Linked DNA regions of Mus musculus: all the other regions are reported to be linked to region 4. Evidence: microRNA targets listed by miRTarBase, many of them from high-throughput screens and not tested one by one. Region 4 holds a microRNA gene; each other region holds the end of a gene's coding sequence.

Evidence for each region. Region 4 holds the annotated microRNA mmu-miR-344e-3p (GAUAUAACCAAAGCCUGACUAU, at 1,724-1,745, shown strand). A microRNA usually pairs through its seed, bases 2 to 8, with sites in the 3' UTR of a target mRNA and lowers its output. Matches are read on the target gene's strand: a 7mer-m8 pairs with bases 2 to 8, a 7mer-A1 pairs with bases 2 to 7 and ends in A, and an 8mer does both.
Region 1: miRTarBase lists Zer1 as a target of mmu-miR-344e-3p. Seed matches in the 3' UTR shown: 7mer-A1 at 3,231-3,237.
Region 2: miRTarBase lists Ttc39b as a target of mmu-miR-344e-3p. Seed matches in the 3' UTR shown: 7mer-A1 at 2,385-2,391.
Region 3: the mRNA of Etfbkmt is a reported target of mmu-miR-344e-3p. Seed matches in the 3' UTR shown: 7mer-A1 at 1,561-1,567.
Region 5: the mRNA of Larp1 is a reported target of mmu-miR-344e-3p. Seed matches in the 3' UTR shown: 7mer-A1 at 1,567-1,573.
Region 6: the mRNA of Dimt1 is a reported target of mmu-miR-344e-3p. Seed matches in the 3' UTR shown: 7mer-A1 at 3,088-3,094, 7mer-A1 at 3,044-3,050, 7mer-A1 at 2,348-2,354 and 7mer-A1 at 2,318-2,324.
Region 7: miRTarBase lists Rnf166 as a target of mmu-miR-344e-3p. Seed matches in the 3' UTR shown: 7mer-m8 at 805-811.

What each region holds. Positions count from the first base shown.
Region 1 is chr2:30,095,407-30,099,822 of GRCm38, forward strand. It overlaps Zer1 (zyg-11 related, cell cycle regulator), which reads right to left. Exons shown (of 16, transcript NM_001290503.1): 16 at 1,877-3,437. The coding sequence ends at 3,380. Among named protein-coding and RNA genes, the nearest start is that of Zdhhc12, 4.0 kb to the left of the region's middle.
Region 2 is chr4:83,224,707-83,227,706 of GRCm38, reverse strand. It overlaps Ttc39b (tetratricopeptide repeat domain 39B), which reads left to right. Exons shown (of 20, transcript NM_027238.2): 20 at 483-3,000. The coding sequence ends at 573. Among named protein-coding and RNA genes, the nearest start is that of Gm46887, 40 kb to the right of the region's middle.
Region 3 is chr6:149,149,536-149,153,951 of GRCm38, forward strand. It overlaps Etfbkmt (electron transfer flavoprotein beta subunit lysine methyltransferase), which reads left to right. Exons shown (of 5, transcript NM_001252095.1): 5 at 807-1,636. The coding sequence ends at 1,150. Among named protein-coding and RNA genes, the nearest start is that of Etfbkmt, 10 kb to the left of the region's middle.
Region 4 is chr7:61,732,868-61,737,283 of GRCm38, reverse strand. It overlaps Mir344e (microRNA 344e), which reads left to right and starts at 1,682; the gene lies at 1,682-1,747. All of the region lies in intron 6 of A230057D06Rik (RIKEN cDNA A230057D06 gene), which reads left to right.
Region 5 is chr11:58,057,448-58,061,863 of GRCm38, forward strand. Larp1 (La ribonucleoprotein domain family, member 1) reads left to right here. Exons shown (of 19, transcript NM_028451.1): 19 at 1,112-4,416. The coding sequence ends at 1,318. Among named protein-coding and RNA genes, the nearest start is that of Gm51897, 32 kb to the left of the region's middle.
Region 6 is chr13:106,957,566-106,961,981 of GRCm38, reverse strand. It overlaps Dimt1 (DIM1 dimethyladenosine transferase 1-like (S. cerevisiae)), which reads right to left. Exons shown (of 12, transcript NM_025447.4): 12 at 1,758-3,327. The coding sequence ends at 3,285. Kif2a (kinesin family member 2A) reads left to right here. Exons shown (of 21, transcript NM_001374727.1): 21 at 1-2,986. Among named protein-coding and RNA genes, the nearest start is that of Dimt1, 13 kb to the right of the region's middle.
Region 7 is chr8:122,464,394-122,467,393 of GRCm38, reverse strand. It overlaps Rnf166 (ring finger protein 166), which reads left to right. Exons shown (of 6, transcript NM_001033142.3): 6 at 160-1,249. The coding sequence ends at 225. Among named protein-coding and RNA genes, the nearest start is that of Snai3, 5.2 kb to the right of the region's middle.

The sequences.
Region 1 (4,416 bases), not on the chromosome of region 4:
GCAGAGGTAGCCTAGTTTTCATAGTTTCAGGGCAGCCAGAGCTACATAGAGAGAAAGGTCTTATTTTGGGGTGGGGCAGCTGGCTGGTGAGGCAGAGGCAGGTAAGTGGATCTTTGGAGTTTGAGACCAGCCAGTGTAGTCTACAGAACTACTTGTGTAGTTCCAAGACAGCAGGAATACACAGAGAAACCCTCATTGGGAGTGTGTGTGTGGGTGTGTGTGTATGTGGGTGGGATATACAAGTGCTCCTAACCACCAGGGCATCTCCCTAGCCAGTGGGGTGTTTTTGTTTTGGTTTTCCCATGGTGGTGCTTTTAATCCCAGCACTCTGAGGCCGAGAGGCAGGTGGAGTTTGAAGCCAGCCTGGTCTACAAAGCAAGTTCCAGGATGGCTAAGGCTACATACACCAAGAAACCCTGTCTCAATAAAAACAAAAAACAAAAAAATCAGTGTATTTATTTGTACTTTTTTGGGTGGGTGGTCTCTTCTCTCTCAATATATGGGTCCTGGGAGTGGAACTCAGTCTTAGTGGTAGGGCTCCTTGTGGCACAGCCAGTAAGAAAGATCCCTGGATGGGCAGCCAGGAGAGGTTCATGCTTGCCACTCTTCCAGAGAAGTTTGGGTCTCAGCACTCAGACCATATAGTTGTGACCTGCTGCCCTCTTCTGGCCACCATGGGCACTGTACACAAGTAGTGTACACACACAAAACAACTAAAATGAATTTATAAAGAGCCCTGGAAACCCAGGGTTCTGTGCTGTGTGCTGACCCTTAGCAAAGCCCTGATGGGCTGTTCACAGCCATGGAGTGGCAGGTGCCATAGCCTCAGCATCAACAAGTGGCCAGGTAGTGGGATGGAGTGAGCAGGAAGCAGTGTTCTAGACACTGGCAAGAGCAGGCACCTGGGCTAGGAGCACACTGTGCATCCGGGGGGACCCTGTGCCCCCTCCTTTGCTATGGCAACCTGAGGTGAGAAGGCACATCACCTCTTGAGTGCATGTACCCATCTGTGGGCTGAGAATGTGTCGTGGACAAGGGGAAGCCCCATACATGTGTACACATTAGGCATGCACATCCAGCTCCCTCCCAGACTCACATGGCCCTCAAGTTCAAGGCAAACACCCACATGTGACAGACAGCTTTTCTGCCTCAGCCCTGTGGGCTGCCAATGGTAGAAGGCACTGTTGTGGGCTCTGCTGGGGCGAAGAGGGGACCCCTGTTCTACCAGGAAGGATGCAGACAGCATGCCAGCTCCCAGAACTGTTTAATCTGATCCTGGCACTCCTGCTCACCCTCTGTGTGGTCTGAGAACACATGGCAGGTGTGTGAGCAGCTGTGAGCTCTGCCCTCCCACCTGAACCTGCATGTTCCCTGCATCTCAGTGGGACTGTCTCTGTGCTCGCCATGGCAATGCCCTGTCTGAGATGCCATCCCTCAGAGGCTCCCCCTTTCTGCTGGGTTCAGCTCAGCCTTTCGTAGAGGACTCCCACCCCCCTACTTGTTCCCCTCTATGATACTATCTGGCACCCGTCAGACCAGAGCCACTTCACCATGCCAGCAGGAGCCCTTCTCCTCTTTGCTGCAGAATGGCGAGTTTATATTTATTTTGTGTCTCTCCCAGCAGACTATGTTGTCTCCCAGGGGCTCTGCCAGTCTGGTGGACAGCTATGACCCCAGTGTCTGGGCACAGAGATGTGGAGAGAATGTCATAGACACATAACCTCAGTCTGCCACCTGTCTCCTGATTGTAGGCACATAAACCCACAGTAAAATTACCCACACTCCAGGAGACCCCTAGCTCCTTCCCTGACCTCTGACCGTGTACCTCAGCCCAGTATCCCCCAGTCTCCTCCGGAAAGAAAAGACACCACTCTCCTGCACTTTGCACAAAATGTATTTCTGTGACATCCTGAAGTACAGACATTTCCCCAGACCCAGGTAGGAAAGCAATGGGATGCGAGTTCTGCTCAGGGCCTGCAGGGCCAGAGGACGTGGGATGGAAAGGATGGGCTGAGGCTGCCCAAGTGCTGCATGGGCGAAGCAACCTGGCAGGGAGAGTTTCCTCTGGGAAGATCAGTCGCCTCTCCCTGAGTTCTGGGAGCAGCCAGGCCCCTTCTGACTGTAGGCAGGCAAGCCCGGAAAAACGGGCACAGAGAAGAAAGAGGGCAGAAAAAGCCACACCAGAGGCTGCTTCCAGGGCCAGCTTTGCTCCCTAAAGCCTGCTTATGTGCATGGGTCTCCTCAGTAGCTACAACAATGAAAAGCAATGCTGAGATACAAGGACAGGGTGCAGGAGATATCCAGAGAGCTTGCTGTTACTGCCTGTCACACAGCGCAGCAGCTTCTCAGGGACAACCTGACTGGGCTGGAGGGACAGAGGACTGTCCAAGTGCTGGTCTGGAGGTGGCTTCCTGCTGCCACTGTGAGGCTGGAGTGGGGACCTCCTGCCTTGGAGGGAGCTGTAGTATCTTCTGGACAGCGGGTGGGCTCAGCTCTGCTGCTGGTGGGAGTACCTGGGCACTGGGGTGCTGTGGGCAGATAAGGGCTACAGAACAAGGAAAGACCCTGGTCCCGGAAGGTGCCAGCTGCCAGAGCTGAGGCGGTTTGGGGCATGTTTGGCAGAAGGGGCAGTGTAATTGCCCCTGAGTTCTGACCCTCTCTGGGCTGCAGCCTTCAAAAACCTAGGGGCCTGAGGGAGACTTGAGGCAGCCTTCCTCCATAGCAGCATGGCCACAGACAGGCCTGGCCAGAGAGCAGTGGGCCAACAGAGCCCTGCTTCTCCAGGGTCCTCTGGACAGGATCTGCTTGGCCTAAGGCCTGGGAACAGCTTACTCTTTTGGCCCCAGATGGCTCACAGCCTGGAGCACCAAGGCTTCTGGGAAACCCAGTAGGGCTGGACTTAATCCTAAAGCTTGCCAGCCTCACTCACCTGGGAACCTGGGCAGGGCACTCAGGCAGGGATCAGGGATGTTGAGTAGCCTGCTAAGGGCCAGCTCCTCCCACAACAGACAGAAGCCAGGCCAGGGTCAGCTCACTGGGAAGGGGCCAGGCACTCACAGCATTAGAGGCAAGCCTGGCTGGGGCAGGAGGGAACATGGCAGCAACCAAAGCTTGGAGGCGGACCAAGAGTGGCAAGGAGCTGCAAAGACTCGGGAGAAGTCATACACACAAAACTTCACACTTCCTAACCAAAAAAAAAAAAAATATATATATATATATATATATATATATATATAATATATATCTCACTAACATTAAGGAAATGCGTCGGCTGTGCAAGTCCTCGCTGTTTCTTCACCCTGTAGGAGGCTCCGCAAAGGGACCTGCCCACTAGACCTCCAGCGCTTCCTCCCGGCCTGTGGTCCGAGCTGTGTGGCCTCTATCTGGACGTGTCCATGTTCTCCTCTCTAAAGTTACTGCAGTGCTCAATCACCTTGCTGGATAAAACCGGGGAGAGCATTGGAGGGTGGCTAAGGAGAGCGGCTCTCCTGGAGCCCCACAGCTACTTACTTACCAAGCTTTAAGAGTGACCCTGACGTAGTCTTGAATGGTGTTGCCAGTGATTGGCAGCACACCTGGGAAGTAGTACCTGTGGCCATGAATGCTGCCACTGCCCTCAACTTAGGAAAAGGAGGAAGTCCTACCAGCAGCCATGCCTAACCTCCCAAACCCACTGCTGCCCTCTTCAGCATCTGCTCTGCCAGCCAGCAGCTCTTCCTCTGCTCAGAGGCCCACAGGGGCCCCCCAAACAGACTGAAGATATGCACAGGCCCTCAGTGTGCCAGCTCAGCCTACTCCCCGAGAACACTGCCACCCACTGCAGTTCACCCTTACACTGCTTGCCTGTTCAACTGGGAGACTCAGGGTTTTGGGGTTTATTGCAGCCTCCATTTGCTGACAGGCTGCACTGAGGGCTTTTGAGAAGGAAATTCCCAGGATAGTTCATTCCTTGAAGCAGATACCTGCTGGCTCACACACTGCAGGCCTCAGGGGACCAAGAGGGCTCGCTGACAAGCCCCACAGAAAAGTCCTGGATCTTGTCTAACATAGATAGCCCCAAGCCCACTGGTAAAAAATCTGCAGGCAGCTGTTCAGTTCTAACACTTTCCAGGGGACTCCCAAGGGACACTGAGTTCGAGGACCAGTCAGTTCAAACTGAACCAGTCTCTTCACCAGAAAGACTGAATGGCAGGGTGCTGGCTGGGGTCTCCACAACAGAAAGGCGTGGGGATGGGGGGTGGGGGTGTTTCTGAGGCTCAGGCTATCCCGTGCTCAGATTTGTGACAAAGGAATAACCTCCCAGAGAGCATGGATCCAGGCACGAGGAAGGCAATGCAATCCCACTGATTCTAATGTAGTGTACATTCTAGTGCACACTGGGAAGGAGGGACAATCAGAACTGAGGCTTAAACATTC
Region 2 (3,000 bases), not on the chromosome of region 4:
TGAAAACTTACATGAGAACTGGAGTAAGTGGTTTTGGGGTCACGGGGAAATCCTGGTGTCTTTGTTGTGGGGTAACCGTGTGGGTTTCAAGGTATTTTTATTCTGTTGAATAGTGGATTGTTCATGATCATTGTGTTATATGACCCTGCCTTAATGTTTTCCTCTTTAAATATGGAAGTTGAGCCATGTAGCAGTATTTAGCCAATGTGCCATGCCTTCTTGACCATGCTATAGTTGTGGTCTGGCAATTAGAATGATTTACTCAACGGTATAACCTCTTAAATCATCACTGGGGAAGCCTCAGGAAAGCAAGAATGCAGACTCACTGTTCACTTTGCCCCACAGAAAGACGCTGCTCTTTACTCTGCTCCAGTAGAACATGTTAGAGTCAGATGTAAGGGGTCAGAGGGAGGCAGAGGAAGGGGGCGGCACCCCCCTAGAGAGGGTAAGTTCTGACTGTACAATTTTATCCTTGTCTTCAGAAATAACTATAAGGATTACTCCCTGGAGTCCAGGCTACACTTCAGAATTCAAGCAGCTCTTCATCTCTGGAAGAAACCTTCCACGGACTGATCCGGAACACACAGGATGGATCTTCCCCCCCGGTTAACATTGACTCTTGCTATGGAGATCACTCTCTGTGTCAAGGTGGACCCATGATCCATCAAATAAGAAACAGAAAGCCTGCTGTCAGCCACTTCCTGTCATCGGAGTGGCGTACTGTTTGGTCTACATACTTTCCCCTCTGGAATGACATTTAATACTATACAGAAATTCTTATACTCTGCCTTCACTGTAGATTTCAATTGAGGGGGTGAAGTCTTTTAAAAGACTGGCAGGTACAATAAAGCCTAGTTAGATTATTTATTTTTTTAATGTAAAAATTAATATTGTTCAAATAGCAAATGGCTTTATCAGCTGAGCCATTTTTAGATTGGCTTGTCCTTTAAACTTCAGAGATATTTTACTGCTGTTTAAATCTCTGAGAGTAAATAAATATCACATCTATAATAGTATGACAGTGGGTTTCTGAAGATTCTGGAAGAGAGAAATGAGGGGCCTGAGGTGGGTGAAGTATTCCTAGGCAGAAGGGACTTGTATCTCAGCAAGATGTCACAGTTGTAAGTTTCAGGATTTCCAGTCCTCTCATTGGTTGAAGGTGGTGGCATTTTTCAGAAACTATCCTGTATTTGAATGTACTCATATCAGATCCAATAATAGCATTCAATCACATAGACACATTTCTCATGTATCTAAGGGAATAAAAAGCTGTATTTTAGATCTCCCTAAGCTTAGTGCTGAAGCCTGAACTACAGACTTCCATTGTGTTTCTTACAGGAAGGAGAAGCTCCTGTTGCTGTGAGTGATATGTGACATGTCAGTGATTGTTTACAGTCATGATGCTGCTGACCCAGGGCCATGGCTGCATCTTGGTTCTCTGAGTAGGAACCCGGATCAGAGCCTGAGCAGATGCCCTTCTGGGGTCCCCACACCTGTCAATCACCCTTTGTGAATTAGAAAGAACACGCTCATTTCGAGAAACAGAAAAGGCACAGATGGCTTTAATTTCTCTTTGAATTGTGTAACTGTGAGTCTCTGTGTTAGACACTTTCAACAATGCTTAGCATTAATCCAAACTCTTCCCATTAGAATATAGTTTCTTCAACCCCTCGCTCTCCTCCCAATCAACGGCCTATCAATAGTGGGTGTTACAGCTGAGGGCCAGACTCCACCCAGTGACAAAAACCAGTTAGAGTCCATGGACCTGGGCTTTTGTCTTGTTTCTATTATTTCCAAGACCAGTAACTTCTCTAGAGGGTAGATGGCTCCACCTTCCCTCGTCAGCGCCCCAGGTTTGTAGTTCTGAGTCTTTCTCTGTTGGTTAATAGTTAACAACATAAAGCAAATAACTTACCTTTTCCAGGACTTGGGTTTTCCAGTGGGAGAGGCAAGGTAGCACTCACTGCCTGCAGCCTCCAGAGCTGGTGCATTTGGTAGCTTTCTGTATACTGGGGAAGCTGTACACGGAGGAGTGAGTTTGATAACTATGGCCTTGCACATGGATTACAATACCTCTAGTATCCGCTGAGTCTGTGGTCTCTTGTCTACAGTGAGATGAACGTGAGCATTCATGACCTTTCAGTTTATTTATTTATGCATTTAGCACTGACAGTGGCCCAGATTATGGAGTTGCTCCTGCTGTCCCCGACTGCAGTTCCCCATGCTCAGCAGGCACTGGTGGCCTGTTACGTAAGGTGCCATTTCTTATTCAACATTGATAACACGGAGGCAGAAATCATTATATCTCACTAATATGAATCACACAATTAGCTACAGATAGTAGGGAAATAAATTGTCATGAGCTATAGAAATATGTTTAATAATTATATATATATATATGAAGAAAAGTTTATAAATTCTTTAGAAGAGCTTTGATAACGATATTTTAAAAACAATCTATTCATACTATTAATGTGATGGGGTGTGGTGGCACACATTGTTAATTCTAGCATTTGGGAGGCAGGGGCAGGCAAATCTCTGAGTTCGAGGCCAGCCTGGTCTGTTTATTCAAAACTCAAACCAACCAAACAAAAAGAATACCCATATTTTGTGAGAAACTATCAAAGCTCATGGTCTGTAAATTCCCATTCTGATATTAAATGAAAAAAATTAAGCTAAAAATGACTGTTTTAGAGACTGGAGGGTGTCCCGGCAGTTAAGGGCACTTTCTGCTTTTCCATAGGACCAGAGTTTGTTTCCCAGCACCCATGGCAGGCAGTCCTTAACTGTCTGTAACTCCAGAAGAGCTGACACTCGCTCTGGCCTCTGTAGGCACCCAAACACACATGGCATGCATTCACATAGAAACATACATACATACACATTAAGTAGACAATAAATCATTTTTTAAATGACTACTTTTATACTATCAAACAAATCTACTTGTGCTATTTTATTTTGTGGTTTTCTTTTGTTTATATTGCTCAAATTCTCTCTGTC
Region 3 (4,416 bases), not on the chromosome of region 4:
ACAGCTGGCTTGGTACCTCCCTTTGTATCCCAGGTTGGCTCATACTTGCAGGAATCTTCCTGCCGTATATTACCAAGCCTTGGAGTGACAGGTGTTTACCATCATGCCTAGCCAGTATGTAATTTATACTGGCATAAATTTTAAACTTCTTTGCCTAAAAAATAACAGGAGCTGGAGAGATTGCTTAGTGGTTAAGAGCACTGGCTGCTCGTCCATAGGACCCAGGTTCAGTTCTCAGGACTCACATGGCAGCTCACAATTCTCTGTAGCTACAGTTCCAGGGGATCCAATACACTCACATAGACATGAATCCAGACAAAACACATATGAAATAAAATTGAAAACAACAAAAACAAGAAAAAAAATCCGTTTTAACAAAAGGTAAGTATTAGATTATTTTTACATTTATTAGTTCATTTGTGAGTGTACACCACATGGGGAGATCAGGGTCATTGTGTGGGATTTGGTTCCTTCTTTCCACCATGTGTGTCACATATATTGAACTTTGTTTGTTGAAACAGGGTCTTTCTATGTAGTCCTGGCTGTCCTAGAACTCCCTATAAAGACCAGGCTGGCCTTAAAATCACAGAGATCTGCTTGTCTCATCTGAGACCGGGGATTTAAGTTGTGTGCCATCATTCCTGGCCTTCAGATGTTGAACTCTTTAGGTTTAGCAGCAAGCATCTTAACCTGCAGAGCCTTCTCATTGGCCCCTAATGTTAGATTTTTAAAAGTGTTTAAATAATAAGGAATTAAAACAGCCTACTGATACATGCTTACAGACCAATTCATCATGTTTTCTAAAGTTGCAGGAATGGCGATTACACTAAATTGCAAATTAAATGGACTGAATCCTTTTCCTGTTTTAACTAAAAACATTTTGAATACCCAACAAGGTAAGTTTGATCTCATTGTTCTTGGAGATATGTTTTATGATGAAGACCTTGCAGACAGTCTTCATCTGTGGCTGCAGAACTACTTTTGGACCCATGGAACCCGAGTACTGATTGGTGACCCTGGGAGGCCCCAGTTCAGTGGACATAGCATTCGGCATCAACTGTACCAACTAGTAGAATACACACTTCCAGAGCCAACTCAGCAAGAGAACAATGGACTGACCACAAGTGCTGTATGGGATTTTCATCCCTGATTTGTTAAAGTGCTTTCAAGTATGAATATAGTTCTGTTTGTGTTAAGTTCTAAAAATATCCTCTGTAGGAGGTATTCAACAGTTTAAAGAATGCAATTCAGTGGCTTGTGGTGGATTGGGCCTTGAATACTACCACTTGGGAGGCTGAAGTAGGCGCATCTCTGTGACTTTGAGGACAGCTTGGTCTATAGTGAGTTCAAGGACAGCCAGAGCTATATAGTAAGACCCTGTTCCAAAAATAGATAGATAGATAATAAAGTAAATTTCTTCATTCCTTTGCTGTGACACCTTGAATAACTGTATGGTTTATTAAAGTTAGTTATGGTTATGTTCCCATTTCACATACCAAGGTGTCAGGATTTTATAACAAAGCACTCTATCATATACAATTGCATATGTAGAAGGTATATTTATATATGTATGTATGTATGGATGTAATATATATAATTTGCTTCAGTATTAATAAAATATCTCTGGAAAGATAAATAAGGAACTCAAGTGTTATCTTTCTGATACTATATCAAAATAACTGAGGAAATCAGCTTAAAAGAGAAGTGATCTAGCTCCGTTTCAGAGGCTCCAATCCATGGTCTGCTGGTTCCATTGCTTTGTGTTGAGGTGGGGTGAGATATTAAGGCAACCACAGTATGCAGCAGAAATGGCTTCTCACATTATGGTGACCAGGAAGCAGAGAGCAAGGGACCAGGGATAAGGGTGGGTTCACTGGTCCCAAGGAACAAGACCAGGGAAGTTGCCATGGGGAAGAGAATGAGAGAAAGAGTGTACAAGCAGGGAGAGAAAATGCAGGAGAGAGGGAGGGAGAGAGAGGGAGACCAAAATATCTGGGTTATATAGGGAAGATCTTCTATGGGTGGGGAAGCCCAGCACGTCAGCTGGACAGTTCATGACAGAGGGCTGGGTATGCCAATTGTGTGCCCTGTAACAGGTGGGAGAACCTGGAGGTCAGGTTCACTTTGTTATGTAAAATATGCATTTCAGCCACTTGGTTCCAGGTCTGAATCCCAACACTTAAGATCCACTTATGAACACGAATTCACTGGGGATGGACTAGGCTTTCAACACAAATCTTGGCAGTGAGGAGGTATTACAGATTAAAGCTATAACTGGTTATGTAGAGGAATTTTAGTTCAACAATATGGCTGCTCTGGCAAGGGATCACATCCAAAGGCTTTCTAAGTTTATGTGATTCAGCTGGAATACAGGTACTCCCTAGATCACAGTAGTTGTGGTGTGGCTGGAATGCAGTCATTTCTTTAGTGCATACCTTTAGTCCCAAACAATGAAAAGTAAGGTTAGGGGCTGGCGAGATGGCTCAACTGTTCTTCCAAGGTCCTGAGTTCAAATCCCAGCAACCACACGGTGGCTCACAACCACCCGTAATGAGATCTGACACCCTCTTCTGGTGTCTGAAGACAGCTACAACGTACTTATGTATAATAATAAATAAATCTTTTTTTAAAAAAAAGAAAGAAAAGTAAGGTTAGTTTATAGATGGAATCAGTCATGTTTGAAAGTGATAGCTAGTTGAGGGGCAGAGAAAGTGACTAATCAAAGATTTGACCGAATGAGTCAGAGAGTAGGATATGCCCAACTCTCAAGACAACAGAGAGGAAGCAGTTTTATAGAGAGATGTTTTAGGAAGATAGAATAAGCCAGAGGATAAGGAGCCAGAAGATTAGAATAAAATGCTAGTTAGTTTAAGGCTAAGCAGAGCAATTCAGTGAGAAGCTGAAATAAGCCAAATTGAGTAAGAGACTGGAGAAGAGTTTGAGCCAGAACAGCTGAGTTGAACCATCCAGCTAGAGTTCAGAAAAAAGCTAGAGAGAGTATTGTGGTAAATCTCCAACTATGCCCCGGTAATGAAAATAACTCAATTTATATTGAATACATGCTGTGTGCCTAGATTGGGCAGATCTACCGCTACACTACCATCTTCCACATCTATGAGACCCCTTAGGACTTGCAGTTTCTCCAGGTCATGTGCTTCTGCTCAGTTTCTCTTCTTCCTACTCCTCTGTTCCTCTCCCTATTCCATTTTTCCTTTTTCCCTCTCCCCACCTTCCTCTCCACCTTCCCTTTTATCTGTTCAATCATCAGCTCTCCTTTATTTTATAAATTAAGGTGTGAAGTTTACAGGAAATCACCTGAGTGTTGACCCATTCCTCGTTTGCAACCACTCACATGAAAATGGATTTAACATCAAATATAATTAGGCCCAGGGCTACCTACAATAAGAGGGTGAGTTCATTCAGCAGTAAGCCTCCAAAATAATTTTTATCAGGCAAATTAAAGATACTTCTATGGGCTTAAAAAAAAATAAAAAAATAAAAAAACCAAAGTTTCTCTATTCCTTCTGAGGCAACCAAATGGTCTATTCACTGGGTTAAGAAATGGTTTTTATCTCAGGAGGCAGAGGCAGGTAGATTTCTGAGTTCAAGGCCATCCTGGTCTACAAAGTGAGTTCCAGGACAGCCAGGGCTATATAGAGAAACCCTGTCTCGAAAAAACAAACAAACAACCAACCCCCAAAAAAAGGTTCTTAATTATTTTGGAAATTTTGGATTTGTACTTACATATGTTATACTTCCTATTATCTGATTTAAAAGTTGAGCACTGCCACTTTGCATGTTATAAATACCAAATTTAGTCTTTCCAAGGTACCCTCATAGTCTTATACATTGCTTTGGAATTGTCTTGGATGCTTGAATTACATATTTTCTAACAATAAACACCAGGATACTATGATGATAAGATTAGATTTAAAAGGCAGAGAGGTAGCAAAATTAAAAACAAACAAAAAGAACTACGGTAACTATATAGGAATTTGGGGGCTAGGGATGCAGAATATTGTTTTAGAAGGTTTTTACTGTTTTGTGTCCATCTATGTGTCCGTGGCCTTGAACTCATATTCCAGCCTCTACCAAAAGTGCTGGATCCTGATTTGTGCAATACTAGGGACTGAACCCTGATCTTTGTATAAACTAGGCAAACTATCAACTGATAAAGTGCACTGGGATCTTGGAAGTTCTGTACTTGTGATTCTGGACTTTTGGAAGTCAGAGAATTTTAATTACCCAGTGAGTCGACTGCTGCTACTCAAAATTTTCATTAGTATCTACGTGGGGGGGGGGGCTTAGAAATGTAAACTTGGGAGCTGGAGAGATGGCTCAGTGGTTAAGAGCACTGACTGATCTTCCCATGTGGTGGCTCACACCATTTTTAATGGGATCTGATGCCCTCTTCTG
Region 4 (4,416 bases):
CTTGTGACACAGAGGAGGTAATTTTGACCCTTTTATATTCTTAGATAAGCCACCGTGAGAACCTATATGGCAGCATATGTCTTCAACATACTCCCTTGGACTATAAGAAAAATCAGATGTAACTGACAGACACAGAAATAACCATACCCAGAACCCAAGCACTCTTGGGTCAGTGATGCTGGTAGCATGTTACCATTAATGGGCAAAGACATCTAACATTACAACCATTGTTTATTGTGATATTTTTATTATTGTTTACTAGATTTTGTACATGCTTTTTTTCCTAGGTCAGTCCTTTGCAACCTTACAGCTCTGGAGAGTCATGAGCCATTTAAGGAAATCAATAAATGATTACCTGATCACCTCTACCTAGGTATTACACAAGGTAAAGGAAGAAATAGAAACATGAATTTTCTTTGTGAGCTTGTACTTGTGGATACCTGAAGTCCTAAGATTCCTTCATATTTTCATTCTATCTTTAGAGATCAGGCCCTGTCATAAAACCTGGATAATTTTGAATTGTTTTATTTGATTAATACATTCCTGAAGGTAGAAATAAGATTACAGCTTTATATGCATCAGAAAATGCTATGGCCTCTTTAAAACCACACATTAAGGAATTGAAAGTGGTCTGCAACCCTATAGCAAGAAGAACAATATCAATTATTTAGACTCACTCTCCCAGAAGTCCCAGGGACAAAACCATCAAAAAGAGTTCAAAAAGAGGGACCTAGGTCTCCATGCTCATAGGTAGCAGAGGAAAGCATTGCCAGGCATCAATCACTGGAGAGGCCCTTAGTCCTGAGAAAGCTTTATGACCCATTCTAGGAGAATACCAGGGCAGGGTGCCAGTATTTTGTGTGTAATTGGGTAAAGTAACATACTTATATAAGATTTCCCAGGGGGTTCCTGTGGAGGACTCTGGTAAAGGGTGTAACATCTGAAATGTAAATATAAAATATCCAAAAAAATGGAAAACAATACCACACTTCAAATATTTTCCATCCACCATATTTGATGTGAATAATATAGCACACAAACATTGTTTACAACACTGAGTTGCATTTATTATATTTCAGATTTATGGACCACTGCAGCTTTTCATTGAAACTGAGTAATCATGGACTAGGGAATGGGCAGAATATTAACCTTGGTATTAAAACAATTCTTTCTAGATGCAAGAATAAATAATATTTTTTCAAGTAAAGAGTATATACAGAGCATACAATTGTTAAATTGGAAAAGGAGACAAAGGCACAATACAATTGCCCAGTAGGCAGCAAAAATGTCAAGAAATACGGTGAGTGGGCTCAAAAGCTAACAGAGCATCCCTGTAAAATAGCTTAAAGATAATCAATAAGGCAGAAATAGGACCACCCCAAAGTGTTCAGTGAGGTATTTTTCTGTAGGTCAGTGAAGAGAAGAGAGGGTAAAACAGTTTTTTTCTGCACTTCACTTTCAATTATTCTCATTTCTTCTGGGAAGGCAGGGAGGAGTGTATGAGTTATGAATCACCAGCACTGATGTAGATATCCAAGGTTACTGCAGGCTCTGCTGTCCATGCCTAGATATGAGATCTCTCTTCTGATTGGATCTCATTCCATTCTCTATTTGAATGCACATTCTCCATCAATCAGAAGCCAGGAGACCAAATAAATTGGTCTGCAGGGAAGGATTTGATCAGTCAGGCTTCTGGCTATATTCCAGGACTTACCTGGTCCTGGATATAACCAAAGCCTGACTATATGGTGCTAAAGACAAGGAAGAGTGCTTCTGTAACTGACAAGAGATGGAGCCAGTGGACAGCTCCAAGCAAACTGCTTTTTTTTGTTTCAGAGCCTCCATTCTCTGATTCTTTGGCTCCTAGTTCCTGTACAGGGAATGCCTCCACATGTGAAATTCAGGCATCTGCTGTCCATTTCTTGCCTCGGTCATGCAGGGCTGTGCCTTCTGTAATGAAGATACAACATTCAATCTTCAGCTTGTGACACAGACTACAGAACAATTTTGGCATTTTCATGTTTTTAGATCAGCCACTGTGAGTACCACGATGGCAGCAGAGGTGCTCAACATACCAGATTTGAGTATAAGAAAAATTAGATGTGATTAACAGGCAGAGAAACTACCATACCCACAATCCAAGCAGTGTTATGACAGTGATGCTGGTAGCATGTTACCATTAATAGCCAAAGGCATTCAACATTGCAACCATTGTTTATGGTGATACTTTTGTTGTTGTTTACTAGATTTTCTAAATGCTTTTCTCTCAGGTTGTCCTAAGATTTCATGATATTTTCATTCTATTTTTTTTTTTGAAATCAGGTCTCTGTCATAAAATCTGTATAATTTTGAACTGTTTTATTTTATTAATACATTCCTGAAGGTAGAAATAAATTTACAGCTCTATATGCATCAGAAAATGCCATGACCTCTTTAAAACCAAACATTAAGGAACTGAATGGGATTTGCAACCCTATAGGAAGAACAACATTATCAACTATACATAGCCCCCATAGAGGTCCCAGGAATTAAACCACCAACCAAAGAGTACACAAGGAGAGAACCATGTCTCCAGCCTCATAAGTAGCAGAAGAATTCTGAGTCAGGCTTCAATCAGAGTAGAGGGGCTTGTCTCTCATAAGGCTAAATGCCCCAATGTAGGTGAAAGCCAGGGTGGGGTAGTGGGATTGTGTGTGTGGAGAACATCCTCATAGCACCAGTGGGAGGGGAGATTGGACAGGTTTCTCTGGGAGGGAATTGTGGAATGGGCATACAATTTTAAATTTAAATAAGAAAATATCCAGTATAGAAATATAGAAAACAATCCACACATTAAATATTCCACATATACCATATTTTGATGTGAATATTCATACCATGTAAGCATTGTTTCAACACTCAGTAGCATTTATTATTTTTCAGATTTATGGAAAACTGCAGCTTTTAATACCACCCGAATACAGGTAGAGCTAGGCATGAGCTGAATATTAAACTAAATAGACAAACACCTCTTTGTGGATACATATTATATTTTCAAGGAAAGTTCATACACAGAGCATGTAACAGATAAATTGGATAAGTTGAAAAATGCACATCACAATTGTTCAGCAGGCAGCAAAATACAGAAGATTAATGTTACAATAAGTGGGCTAAAAAAGAAACAGCACATTTCTGGCTAATAGCTTAAAGCTAGGCAGAAGGAGCCAGAAATAGGACCATCCCCCAAGATTCTACTGACTTCTTTTTCTGTAAGTCAGTGCAGAGAAAAGAAGGTAAAGCAGGTTTTTTTTTCTGCCCTTCACTTTCAATTTATCAATTTCCTTCTGGGAAACTAGGGTGGAGGGGGTTGAGGTATCAATAAGCAGTACTGATGGAGATCTCCAAGGTAACTGCAGGCTTTGATGTCAATGCCTAAATATGAGCTCTATCTCCTGATTGGATCCTATTCCATTCTCCATCAATCAGAAGCAAGGAGAGCAAATAAATATGTCCACTGGGAAGGATTTGATCAGTCAGGCTTCTGGCTATATTTCAGGACTCATCTGGTCCTGGGTATAATCAAAGCCCGACTGTATGGTAGTAAAGACAAGGAAGAGTGTTTCAGTAACTGACTGGAGATGGAGCCAGTAGACAGCTCCAAGCAAAGTGCTAGTTTGTTTCAGAGCCACCATGCTCTGATTCGTTGGCTTTTAGTTCCTATACAGGGACAGTCTCCACATGTGAAATTCAGGAATCTGCTTCTACTGTCCATTTCTTGCCTCGGTCATGCAGGGCTGTGCCTTCTGCAAAGATGATATAGCATTCAATCTTCAGCTTGTGACAGTTTGGCTGGGTGGTTGGGGGAAACAGCCAAATAGAAGCAGTGTGAGGGAGTATTGGATAGGTTTTTCTGGGGAGGAAATGGGGAAACAGTATAACTTTTGAAATATAAATAAAGAAATTATCCAATAAAATTTGAAAAAATTTAGCAAAAAGTCACACATTGAAAGGTCCACATATGCAACGTTTTGATGTGAATAAACACAGGATATAAACATTGTTTTCACACTGAGTTGCATTTAATATTTTTTCAGATTCATGGGACACTGCACTTTTCTATTTTTTCTTTTTTCTTTTTATTGAATATTTTCTTTATTTTCATTTCAAATATTTTTCTCTTTCCATGTCTCCCAAACAGAAACACCCTATCCCACTCCCTCCTTGTCCTGCCACTATGAGTGTACTCCCCCACATCTCCACCCACTACTCTCTTCCTGTCCTAAAATTACCCTATGCTGGGGAGTCAGACACCCTCAGTCCCAAGGGCCTCTCCTTCCACTGATGCCCAACAAGGCCATCCTCTGCCAAATATGTGGCCAGCGCCATGGGTTTCCCAATGTGTATTTTTGGATGGTGGTCCATTCCCCAGGAGCTCCA
Region 5 (4,416 bases), not on the chromosome of region 4:
CTGTGACGTACACGTGACAGTGGACAGCAGCAGGTGCTCACTAGAGTTGTTCCCAGCCTCCCTCCTATTGTCACAGCCTACCTGCTTATCCAGGCCCACTACTACTAGTTTGTGTCAGGATCAGGACCAGCTACTCTGATAAATATACTTGTTCCTTCTGGGAAAAGAAATTTGTAAATTAATTTTCAGTCCTCCGTTGTCGAGAGCAGTGCCTAAACAGTGACACCCTGTGGTGAGTCTGAATAGTGCTGTGCGTGTGTCAACGGCTGCCTCTAAAGGCGGCTTCATTGACTCATCTTTGTGTCTGTGCAAAGTACTTCAAGTGAGATTTTCCTTCAAGAAGTCTGTGGTATTGGGGGTTTACCTCAATGGTAAGATACATGTATAACCCATTGAAGGCCCTGGTTTTAATGACCAGCACCAAAGAAGGCAGAAAGGCTTTTAACCAAAAAGTTTGTAATGAGCAGACTCTGATACTCAGGCTGTTCTCTTGAGAACATGTAACAGAAAAGTGATAGGTTTAGGTAAGGATCAGCGGTCGTCCTAAGTTATTGTAGAACTGACCCTTCCTGGTGCCCAGACTGTGAGCACACTCTTGTAGGTAAGAGTGTCATCAGTTTACATACCTGTAAACTGGGCTTGTTCTTAACTACTCTGGGGAGGAGATGTGTGCTAAGGACCAATGGCTGGAACTTAGTACCTGGAAAATAGTTTGGGTGGCATTTGGTGATAGTAGGGCAAGCTGAATCACAGTCTTCATTGTTGGCTCACGGGCCTGGTGAAGGCTGGAATAAGACAGTTCCCTGTGGAGCCAATACATGCACCATGTAGCATTCCACACACCACAGGTCTTTTCCTAAGAGACCCTTTGTAGAAGGGGACAAAAATTTATAGGGTCAAACTCTGGTCTTTAAGGATATGGACCTAAATATAGGAAGCCTTTGACAAATTATGTGTTTGGTCCGTTTCCTTATTTCTGGTACTGTCCACATGAAAGGACAGGATGTAAATCAAACCATTGTCCTCATTTGGAGATGGAACGGAGACCTGATTGGTTCTGGAAAGTGGTGTGGCTAGTGTTCTCTGACCACTTGTGACTCCTCTGTTACAGCCCCCCATGGGCGAGGAAGGCAACCACAAGCGACACCCAGTGGTAGCAGGAGGCAGCGGAGAGGGCAGGAAGCGGTGCCCTTCCCAGTCTTCCAGCAGGCCTGCCACTGGGATCAGCCAACCCCCTACGACACCTACTGGCCAGGCCACTCGAGAAGATGCCAAATGGACAAGCCAGCACTCGGACACACTGACTTTGCGAAAGTGAATGGCCTGAAGCCCCCTGGGGTTTGTGATAGAGGGGTGGGGTGGTTGAGGATCTGTGGGGTGCCCAGAAGAGCGAACAAGAGAAGGGACAGACCTAGAGTACTAAGAATGGGCCTTTGCGCTAAGTAGCAGTGTATACCATTTGGGCTATTAGCGGTGCTCCTGGGCAGGAGCCTCCAAGTACCCCATCCCTCCTGTCACCATGACTTCCATCATAACTTCTAAGGGGGGAGGGGAAGGGGGGAGATTTTATATATATATATATATATATATACATATATATATATCAAGTTTTAAATTATTGATAGTTTGTCTGGATTACCAAAATCACTCTTTAGCCCTTCCTGCGGCTATTATGCCGACCTGTCTCCCCTGCCTCTTCCCGCTTCCCTCAAGCCAACTATGCAGCCCACCAGAAGGCTCTGGCGGTGCCCATGGGCCCCAGAAGCACCAGCCCCTTGATCACCTGGGGTTTGCCATCACCGTGTCCCTGCTGTTCCACATGCCCTTCTGCCACCTCTGGGGGAAGGAAACCAAAGGATCTCAGTGGGGGTGGGAGCTTCAGCCTCTCCCCTCGCCCCCTCGCCCCACCCCAGAGACGCTGCTCACACCAGAAGAGACTATTGAAAGATGATTCATTTTATTTTTTCTCTGACCTTTCCATCCTTGGGAAAACAGAAAAACAAAACAAAAAAACAAAAAAAAAACAAAAACGAAAATAAAAAAGAAAGAAAGAAGAAAGAAAAAAAAAAGACAAAATCGACCACTTTAAAAAAAAAAAAAAGACAAAAAACCAGAGCCCACCTACTCCATAGAAAGTGATGTCTTTCCCCCTCCTTGGAATTTTTCTTCTGTTCTGTTTTTGGAAATAATATTTTTTTAAAAGTTGCCTTATTGTGGAGCGGGAACCTGAACTAATGCCCAAATGCCTGTTTTCCTTGAGCCTCCGGAAGAGCTCCACCTGCCCGGGATGTCCCTGGACTTGGACTGACTAGAACTTTCCTCGAGACTGAGTTGCATGTACGGGGCCTCCTACCTGGAGGCAAGAGTTGGGGCAGTTCTATCAGAGCTGTGCCCAGGACACCCCTGCTGTTGCATTGTCTGAAGCCAATGTCCTGTGTCTGCACACTGTTGCCACTGTCCTTGTTGTGCTTGCTGTCGCCTCTCCAGGCCCACTCAGCTCTGCTCCGCCCCGCCCCGCCCAGCCAAGCCCTGGGAAACCCCAAGGCCAAGTTTGCTTCAGACTGTTGTAAACATAATTGGTCTTGCCTGGTACACACTTGTCCTCAGTGTGCACATCTCCCCAACTCCAGAACAAGGGGTTGAACACCCACTGATGTCCACAGCTTAGGTCTGTGTCTAACCTTAACGACCTTTGACCTCAAGGAGGTGGAGAAAAGGTACCATTCTCTAAGGGTCTGGTGTTGTCTTTCCATCTTATTACCACCACCCCCTGCAAGCCATCTCTGCCCACCCTCTCATTGGCCCTGCCTGGGATCAAGGGGGTGAGAGGAACCAAGGGCTGGGGAATCCTACCGTTTGGTGAAGCCCCATGGCAGGAAGGTATATGTGGACATAGAGTATACCTGACTTCTCTTCAAAAGCCAGACTGCCTGAGCTGCACTTGAGATGCCAGAGGAGTGGCTGGAGGCTGCTGTCACCAGGAGCTGAGGAGGGTAATGAAGGACTGAGCACACAGGCTGGGAGACTTCATGCTAACCCTACACTTGGACCTAGGTGGCACAAGGGGGTGTGGTCTTTTTGCTAGCTTAACTGAAATTTGTGTGACCCTCCTCATCGCCCAGTTCCTCTATTGTCCCAAAAGTTGGGACTGGGACACAGCATCCCAGGCTGACAAGAGCTTGCCTTCTGTCTTTGGGCACCTTGTTACTTTGAGCTCATGCCTTGCCCCACTCTGTCCTCCCGGTGCTTAGGATGTGGGAATCCCTTGTCAGCTCCTGTGACTCACTTGTCGCAAACAAATAAGGGAACAGGATCATCTGCTGCTGGGATCTGAGGCCTTCTCCTAAGTCTGGTACCTGCCCTATGGTGCACCTTCACCAAACAGTGGGCTCCCTGCTTCCCTTTCTCCTCTCCTCTCCTCACTCAGCCCTCTACTGTATATCCAGCACCACAGAACCTCAGGGCTTGAGGCCCAGCATCAGGGAAGGTGGTTTCCATCTAGGCTATCCAGACTAGGGTTGCCATTCTCTCCCAGATCCTCCCAGACCCTCTGAGGGAAGAAGCCCCTCTGGGGTGGGAAGGCAAGGCTATCATCTCAACACAGGCTGAGGAGGGGTGGGAGTGTGTGTGTGTGTGTGTGTGTGTGTGTGTGTGTGTGTATTTTTTGTGACATGTTAAGAGTTGATGTTGCGGAGTAGTTTACATCTTCACCTTCTGAAGACACTTGAATTTAGGACCGATGTATCTGTGACAAGTATGCCAGGAGTGGGGGTGGGGCACCAGAGCAAGCCACTTCCCCATCACCATCTTCCCATGGAATCCAAGACCTAAGACAGACAGCCTGCCAAATGGAACCGCCTTCATCCTCTGCCTGTGCAGGGTTAGACATCCACCTGGCCCCAGCAAGGGGCAGATGGTGGTTTGCAAACCTGTGAGCCTCAGAGCAGATTTGCTACTCGGAGGGAAGGCTGCCTGGCCCTGCTCCAGCCTGGACCGCAGGTTCAGACAGGTGCTGAGCCCCGGGTCAAGTTGTTCAATGTTTTTGTTCTGTAGCTCCTTCCCACTCCTTTTTGATGACATTTACAAAAGAAGGCAAGCTGCTTGGAAGGTCTGGACATGAGGGAAAGGGCATTGAGGACAAGGCTAATGGTGGGGAGTGCTAGAGGCTTGGGTTCCCCTGTCCCCTGGATGGGACCCCAGAGTCTCTTGTCACAGGGCCCCTAGGTTTTCCCCAGCTCCCACCCTCTCCTCCAGCCATGGTTACGGCAGAGGCAGAAGAAAACTTTGAGCCCAGTTCTCACAGGAAAGGAAAACTCTCATGGGCTTTGCAGAGAAGGTTCCACCTACGCTCATATATTGTCTTTACCATGTGCTAGGATATCACATCAACAGGACAAGAAAAATGTAAAATACTTG
Region 6 (4,416 bases), not on the chromosome of region 4:
GAATGACATTTCAATTTTGTGAAACACTCCTTTGTCGACAAAATGCTTCTAGACCAAGAGGCACAACTAATAATTCGGACTAGTGAAGTATTTTGTTTCATTTGCCCAAATAAATAGTGATTGCTTTTGGATATCCTTGCCAATTTTATTTAAAGATTGTGGAAGTGATCCAGAAGTGGAAGATAGGGGAAGCCACAGAATTTCCTTTAACGCAGATCAATTTTCATAGCAAGACTGAGCAATTTTGAACCCTTTGCGTGCATGCATACCTCATGAGTGATTGTACATACTTTGCCTACTCCTAGAGACACTCGTGCTTACTCATCCTTCTGTGCCTTGGCTAAGGCTATTGACCCTAGATTTCTAAAACAGCCGAGATTAATTACATTCCTTGTTTGTGACTGTAAATTACCTTTACTGTGTGTACATTTTTACTGTATTTGAGACATTTTTTTGTGTGTGACTAGTTAATTTTGCAGGATGTGCCATATCAATTGAACGGAACTAAAGTCTGTGACAGTGGACATAGCTGCTGGACCATTCCATCTTATGTGTAAAGAAATCTGGAATTATGTGATTATAATTTTCTTAGCATTTTCTTTGTAAAAAAAAACCTAAAATATGAATTAGTTGGTGTATAGTAAAAAGTAAAGAAATTCTGAGAGGAGTTTTATTTTAGGATAATACATATATACATATGCAGTGTGTGTGCCAGTGGTGTTAACAAGACTAATAGTGGAATTTGGTCCTTAACAATGCCATTATTTAAGTTGAAGTGTTTATTAACTCACCAAAATTTAATGTACTGTTAAAGGAAACTGGCTTCTGATGCATGAACATTTGTATGTACACTGAAAGTAATCCCTAATACAAGTTAGATAAACCAAGCATAGACAGTATGTACCCCTGAGAAGTGTTGATGACTTATGAGGCAGGTTATTCCAAGCTCCATCTAAACCTAGTATGTGATGGTTTTTGAGAATCATATTTCGCCTGTAGATTGATGGCAAAATAGGCTACTCTATTAATGGCAGCACTCATTTTTAGCTGCTAATCTAAGAAAGAAAACTGGCCAATTTTCATGTAAATATTGTTTAAAGATATATATATGTATATCTCTAGGAGTTTTCCCTTGGTTCCCACTATCTAGTCCAGTAGGTTAACCAAAGAACCTCCCATGGATCTCTTAACTCTAGGGAGCCTACTGATGACTCAGTGTACCGAGGGGAAATCCATGAAGAGTCATGAGCCAGGTTCTTTACTTCACTGGTCATAAATGATGAGAGTAGCTCTGAGGAATCCGAACACCATGGTGAAAACTCTGTAAACATGAAATCTAAATCAAATGTAGATTTTTTCACAATATGCTTATTAATAAATGAAATTTATGAAACGAATTTAGAAATAATGTACTTCAATATAATTAGCTTTGTTTTGGAAGGAACTCAGGTTTTCTTGGAGTTTTATGCTATATTCTATTTGTGTTTGTTTCAAAGACGGGAGGAAGAATGAAGGACTATTTCTATTGACCTTGCAGCAGCTGTTTAAAGAAGGTAATTTTTGCTGGGTATAGTGGTGCATGCCCTTAGTTGCATCCAGCACATGGAAGCAGAGGCAGGTAGATAGATTTCTGAGTTCTGGACCAGCCTGGTATACATACTAAGTTCTAGGACAGCCAGAGCTATGTACAAAGACCTTGCCTCCAGTTCTGAGAATGTCTCATATATAGTGGGCAATAAAGACACAAACTTGCTCATAACTTACCTAACAGTTGAGCTTTAATGTTACTGGCATTGGACAGGTATTATCTTTGAAGGTCTTTATAGATACATGTTTCCTTATTGGCTTCGTCCTGATCTGTAGTCAGAGTACATCAATAAATATCTTGGTAGGTAAAATATGATTCAGCTTTACGGAGGGAAAGCTTTAGTTGGAAGAAAATAAGCTGAGAAAGCCTAGTCTAGCAGAATTGTTTCCCTAAGGTAGAGAATGGTACAAGTGAACTGTGCAAAGTTGTTCTGACAATAAACAAACTTTAAGAACAGTTCTGATCAATATGACAAAAGCTGCTTTTGCAGCTAAGCAAATGTTTTTGTTCTAGATTAAATATTCTTTAGAAATGTCTCAAACTTAAAGGCTGCTAACTATTCATAGCTACTATAATAAGTGTTTACTATATGACTTAGAAACTGGATTTTGAAGGAAAAACTGTAGGCGAGCAATTTATATTAAGTTTACTTAGCATTCTTTTTCTCAAGTAATTGGAGATATTCCTTTTAAGTTTTAAGTATAAATAGAGAAGCTAGTTTAGTTTCCTTATATAAATAAAACAGCTAATTTATTAAAATATATAAACAGCATTTATCTTTTATCTGACAATTTTTAAATAGCTTAAAAAGAAACACCAGGTAGTAGAATTTTAATTATCTAGAAGTCAGGAATAACCAGGAACCTGTAGTTTTAGTCTGTTCTTTTAAAAAGCTGAAAACTAAAACTGGAAAACTTACTTTGCACAAGTATAACCCCAGAATTTATTTAGGAGGCTGAGGCAAGAGTCTGAGATTAAAGTCAACCTCCAAAAGACCCTCTCATTCAAGAAAGGAAATGAATCATAAATTAATGAGACCACCTATTTGATTGACAAAACCCTCCAGAGTTTTTCTAAATCTGAAAATTGTAGATCTTGTCTCCCTTAAGGAAATATGTGATTTAACATGAGTTTTTACTTTCTAAGCTTCTGCATTTTACAGGTAGTCTTATGCAGAACTTGCCTGTACTGTCATTGCAGCAGACTCAGCTCCCAGAATTATGATGTTGTTTGTGTTGCAAGAGGCAAATAATAACACGTAGGGTGAAGGTGTGTGAAGAAAAGTCACATTGGGGGCTTTCTGACTAGTTGAGTGAGCTGTAGGCCTACGTGAACCTCACAGTCTAAAATAGTGAATAAAAGTAACGTCTTCATACAATAAATTGTTAGAAAGCTTAAGTGTATGTTGTGTGTGTCTGTGGCTTTCAAACTTAAAGACCATTATTTTTATATTTATATATAAAACACTAGGTCTACTACAAAGGGCAGGGTATTATTTATATATAATATAATACACATACATACATACATATATATATATACCCAACCACCTTTCACATACAGGATAATAAATGGTAAAAAAGTATTATTAAATAATTTAAATGATGTCCTGTAGAACAAAATTGGTTGTATTCTCAAATAGTAGGATTGTATAATTTCATTTTTTCTTGGTCTTGAAAAAATAGTTTTCAAATGGCTAGGAGAAGTGGATGCCTTCTGCATTGAATCCATGTAGCAACCTGAAGAGGAGACCAAGAAGGAATGGTGTTAAACTATAAACCCAACTTCTGACACATAATGTGCCTATTACCATTAATCCTAATACATAAACATGCCAACATACTGAAGACACAGTGCAAGCACTAGTCACTACACCTTAGTAAAAACCATGGCACGTTTGTCTTCTGTTGAAATCTACTGTTTAAGTTGGCACTGACTGAAATGACCTTAAAGACTTGCTGTCTCTGGCCTAAGCTCAACAGCACTTTCAGCATGGTCAGCTGAAAAAGAAATTGAGGCAAGGTGAGATGAGTAACTGGTCTCTGCCTGCTCTCGGGGCTGTTACCGAAGTTTAGTGAAATACACTGTACTTCTTTGTACTTATCTGACTTTTGTTAAACTGCACGCTGAGGAAGTGTGAAGTTTTTGAAATGATGTATTTGTAGCTGAGCTTATTTTTTAGGATGGCCTCTATATAGGGAGAGGTCCCTGTGGACTAACAGTCTGGAAAAGCAAAGGTGTTCACCTAGGAGGATTAACATCCAGACTCAGTCCTCCCGCTAGGAGCCAGTAACAGTGACTCTTGTTCTAGACAATTTAGTCTCTGGATACAAGTGGGGACACATCCTAGAAGTAGAATACCTGTCTAGCTCTGCAAGGACCTGAGTGCAGCCCCCAGCACTGTAAGAAAACAGTTAACAGAATGTCCAATAACTCCTGAAAGTTAATGTCAGTGAGTTAGTACAATTGGGTAATTAACTGAAACTTGCTTAAAACAAAATAAAAATGTCCACATTGCAGACATCGCTGTGGTGCCCTTTAACTTAACAGGCCACATAACTGCTATTGAATGAGTGATCAGGTGATGTGGTTCTGACTGACACTTCCTGCTTCTCTGTTTAACAGTAGGGGTTCTAAGTAAGGAAAAAATGGGTCATCAGCCCCAGCTGTGTGTTACCATGCTTTCTCTAGTGTGAGGAGGTGAGCAGACGCTATTAGAAGGTGAGTTTGGAGCAGGAGGAAGGAAACACTGCGCATACAAATACAGGCTCCGTTCTGGCACAGACTGTTTGTAACACCTGCTGCAGCTAACTAGCTGCCAGCCTTTA
Region 7 (3,000 bases), not on the chromosome of region 4:
ACCTGCAGAGCACTGGTATGCACACGATCCAAGGCTACCTTTGGGGACACATGTAAGAACTGGGGCAGGCATTCTGTGAAGGAGGCTTGGGACACACTGTGACAGTGGGTGTTTGGGAGCCATCCTGCTCCTCCCTCATGCATCTCTGCTTTTCCCCAGGACTACAGCATCGACGAAGAAGCTGCCTTCCAGGCTGCCCTGGCTCTGTCCCTCTCTGAGAACTGAGGCACAGCCTGGCCACCCGCCTCTTATGGGGCAGAAGACACACTCCCGCTTTAAGGGATAGGGCTGTTGCCCTTCTGCCCTGGCACCTGCACAGGAGTGCGCCTCACCAGGCCAAGTGGAATGTTACACAAGGAGAGTTGGTCTCAGAATCCCCAGGCTGGGATCCTGGCTAGCTGGCCCCTTGTCATCAAGCAGGACCACCAGGTCCTGGCCAGCAGCACTGGGCCCTCGGTGCTTCAAGGGGCAAGTGCTGGCCATTGGGTCAGAGCAGGTGGCTGCCTTTCCCAGACTTGGTGTCTGTGTGTGGAGAAGGATGAGGTGCCCTAAGCTGTGCCCAGCAGGGCCAGGGGAAGAGGTGCCCAGCCAAGGCTGCCAGCCCACCCGGTCGGTCCCTAGCTTCGCTTCCACCGTGAGCATTTGGTACTGGCTTTTGTGATATTTAGGAACCCTGCGTTTTTCTATCTTATCCTGTGTGATAATCTTTTCATGTTTTCTAGAGCAAAGACAAAGCAGTTACTCTTCTATCGCAATACCCAGGTTTGACTAGGAAGAGCAGTATTTTTATGGAGCATTTACAAAGTTATATTTTTAAAAAAAAAAATCAAAAACATGTGGGATGAGTGTAGAGGGAGGAGCGTGGGTGTGGCCAGGGCTTTGTCTGTGTGACAGGTGGCGTCCCCAAGCCATGTGATCTCTGAGGAGGTGGCTCCTGTCTGGTGCTTTCTCTTGATGACCCAGAAGAAACCCTAGCACCGGCGGGCCACTTGCTGTGGCTGCTCCCAGCAGATGTAGGACAGCCCAGACAGAATGGAGTCCTTCTGCCCTGCCCTGTCACCTTCCAGAGCCAACCGCATCCCTCCTCAGGCAGGGACTTCCCTTACCAGTGGTAGAGCCCTCAAGGGCCAGAGAGACCTGCTTGGTGGCAGGTCAGGCAAGAAAACATTTGTCAGCATCTTATTCTGTTCATGGCATAAATTGCTGTCTTTTCAAAAGAGTTTTAAATAAAGTGTTTCCAAGCACCCACGCGAGCCTTGGTCCTGGGTTTTACTGCACCAGTGTCTGTAGGTCAGGGCTGCCAGGGTCCACAGCTCCACCTTGTCTCAGGTGCTTTCTCCCTGGTGACTCTACTGCCACGTGCCCTTGGTGACCTTTTCCCTGGGCTCTGGGTAGCCTGCCGTGCTGGGGACATTGGTACTAGTTGCTTCTCCCCATCTCTGGCTCCAGTTTCTCACTCTTCAGGCTGAATCCTGGATCTTATGAGGTGGGCCAGCTGCCGTGACTCCCCCAGGGCCCACCTCCTGGACACAGGGCCGTCGTCTAGCTCACTGAGGGTTCTAATAATCGAAGAGAGCTGGGCATGGCGGTTAAGCAGGGGATACCGCACTCAGGAGGCTGAGGCTGTATTGCTCCGAGTTCAAGGCCAGCCTGTGCTACATGGCCAGCTCCAGGAGGTCAGCAAGGACTGCACATAAGACCTCAGAACACAATAAAAAGCTCAAGAGACCCTCAGCAGCCAGGTTCACGAGAGCAGATGTACAGGCATGTCTGCCCAGAGGGACTCCTTACTGTCCCACTTTGTTCATAGGTGGCGCCCATGAACAGGCAGGTCTCTGTTGTTCCACTTAACACTTATGTGGGGTTGGGGGCCCTTGCGGGCAATGTCAGGTTCCAGACCAGCAGTGCCACAGCAAGACCACCCTCTTCTACTAGTTATTGTCATTGAGTGTCAACTACATCTGAGAGGCCTCAGAGCAGGGCTAGCTTGTGCTCGTCCCTGGCTGCCAGCTAAGCCTACCACTTGTTGGGCAGTCACTCACTGTCCTGAGCTAAAGTGGTGCTCATACAGGCCCAGGACTGACCACAGTGACACAGGCATGGCACTCAGAGGGCACGATCCCTGGGTGACCAGGAAACTCAGTCCCAGCTCCAAGCCAGTCCCAGCAGGCCCTGACCTCGGGAGCAGCCCTGACCTCAGCAACAGCCCTGCACGTGGCTTGTTTCCTGAGTTCTCTGTGCTGCATCTGTGGAGGCCACGGGGTAAGCCCAGTCTCTGAGGATCCTCAAAACTGCAGGGTCTGCAAACCCGTGGGGGTTGGGGAAAGCGAAGAAGGAATGGAAGATGGGGAAGCCGTTAGTCCACTGTGGTCACACTGCACATCTAATCAAGAGGCACAGGGCAGCCTGCTCTCCTGGCTGTGCTCTGCTTCCTAGACAGCACAGGCAGTAATAGATCTGCGAACTCACCAGTTAAGTGTGGACTCATTAGCCCTTGTACACTGGGTATCTGGCCTCATCCCTCAAGAGGCCTGGGGAAGGGGGAGAGTATAGCTGTCTTTGGTCCTTTGTTGGAGATTCTTTTCCCACCCTTTATTTCCCCCACCCTGCCCTAGTTTCACCCCCTAACACTAGACAGAAGAGAAACAAGGATAGAGGGAAAAGAGATACCTGAATCTGATTTCTTTCCTTTTGTTTCTTCTTTGAGCACAACTACTAACAAACTTCAACCAACCATCAACTCTGCCTCTTTCAGGCCCTAGCATTTATAGACCCAGAATTCACACAGTTGCAGAAACTCTCTGCAGCTGGCAAAACCACACATCTGTCAGAGCACGAGGCAGATCACAATCAGCTGCTGTGGGCAGCCTGAAGCCGCCCCACATCGCACACCTGGGATTAAAACAAAAGCACATTCAGACGATATTTCTGTGTTTATTTTAAAAGAAATCAAAAGCCCACAGCTGCCACTACAGGAGAGGAAGAGCCACACCCTGCTGC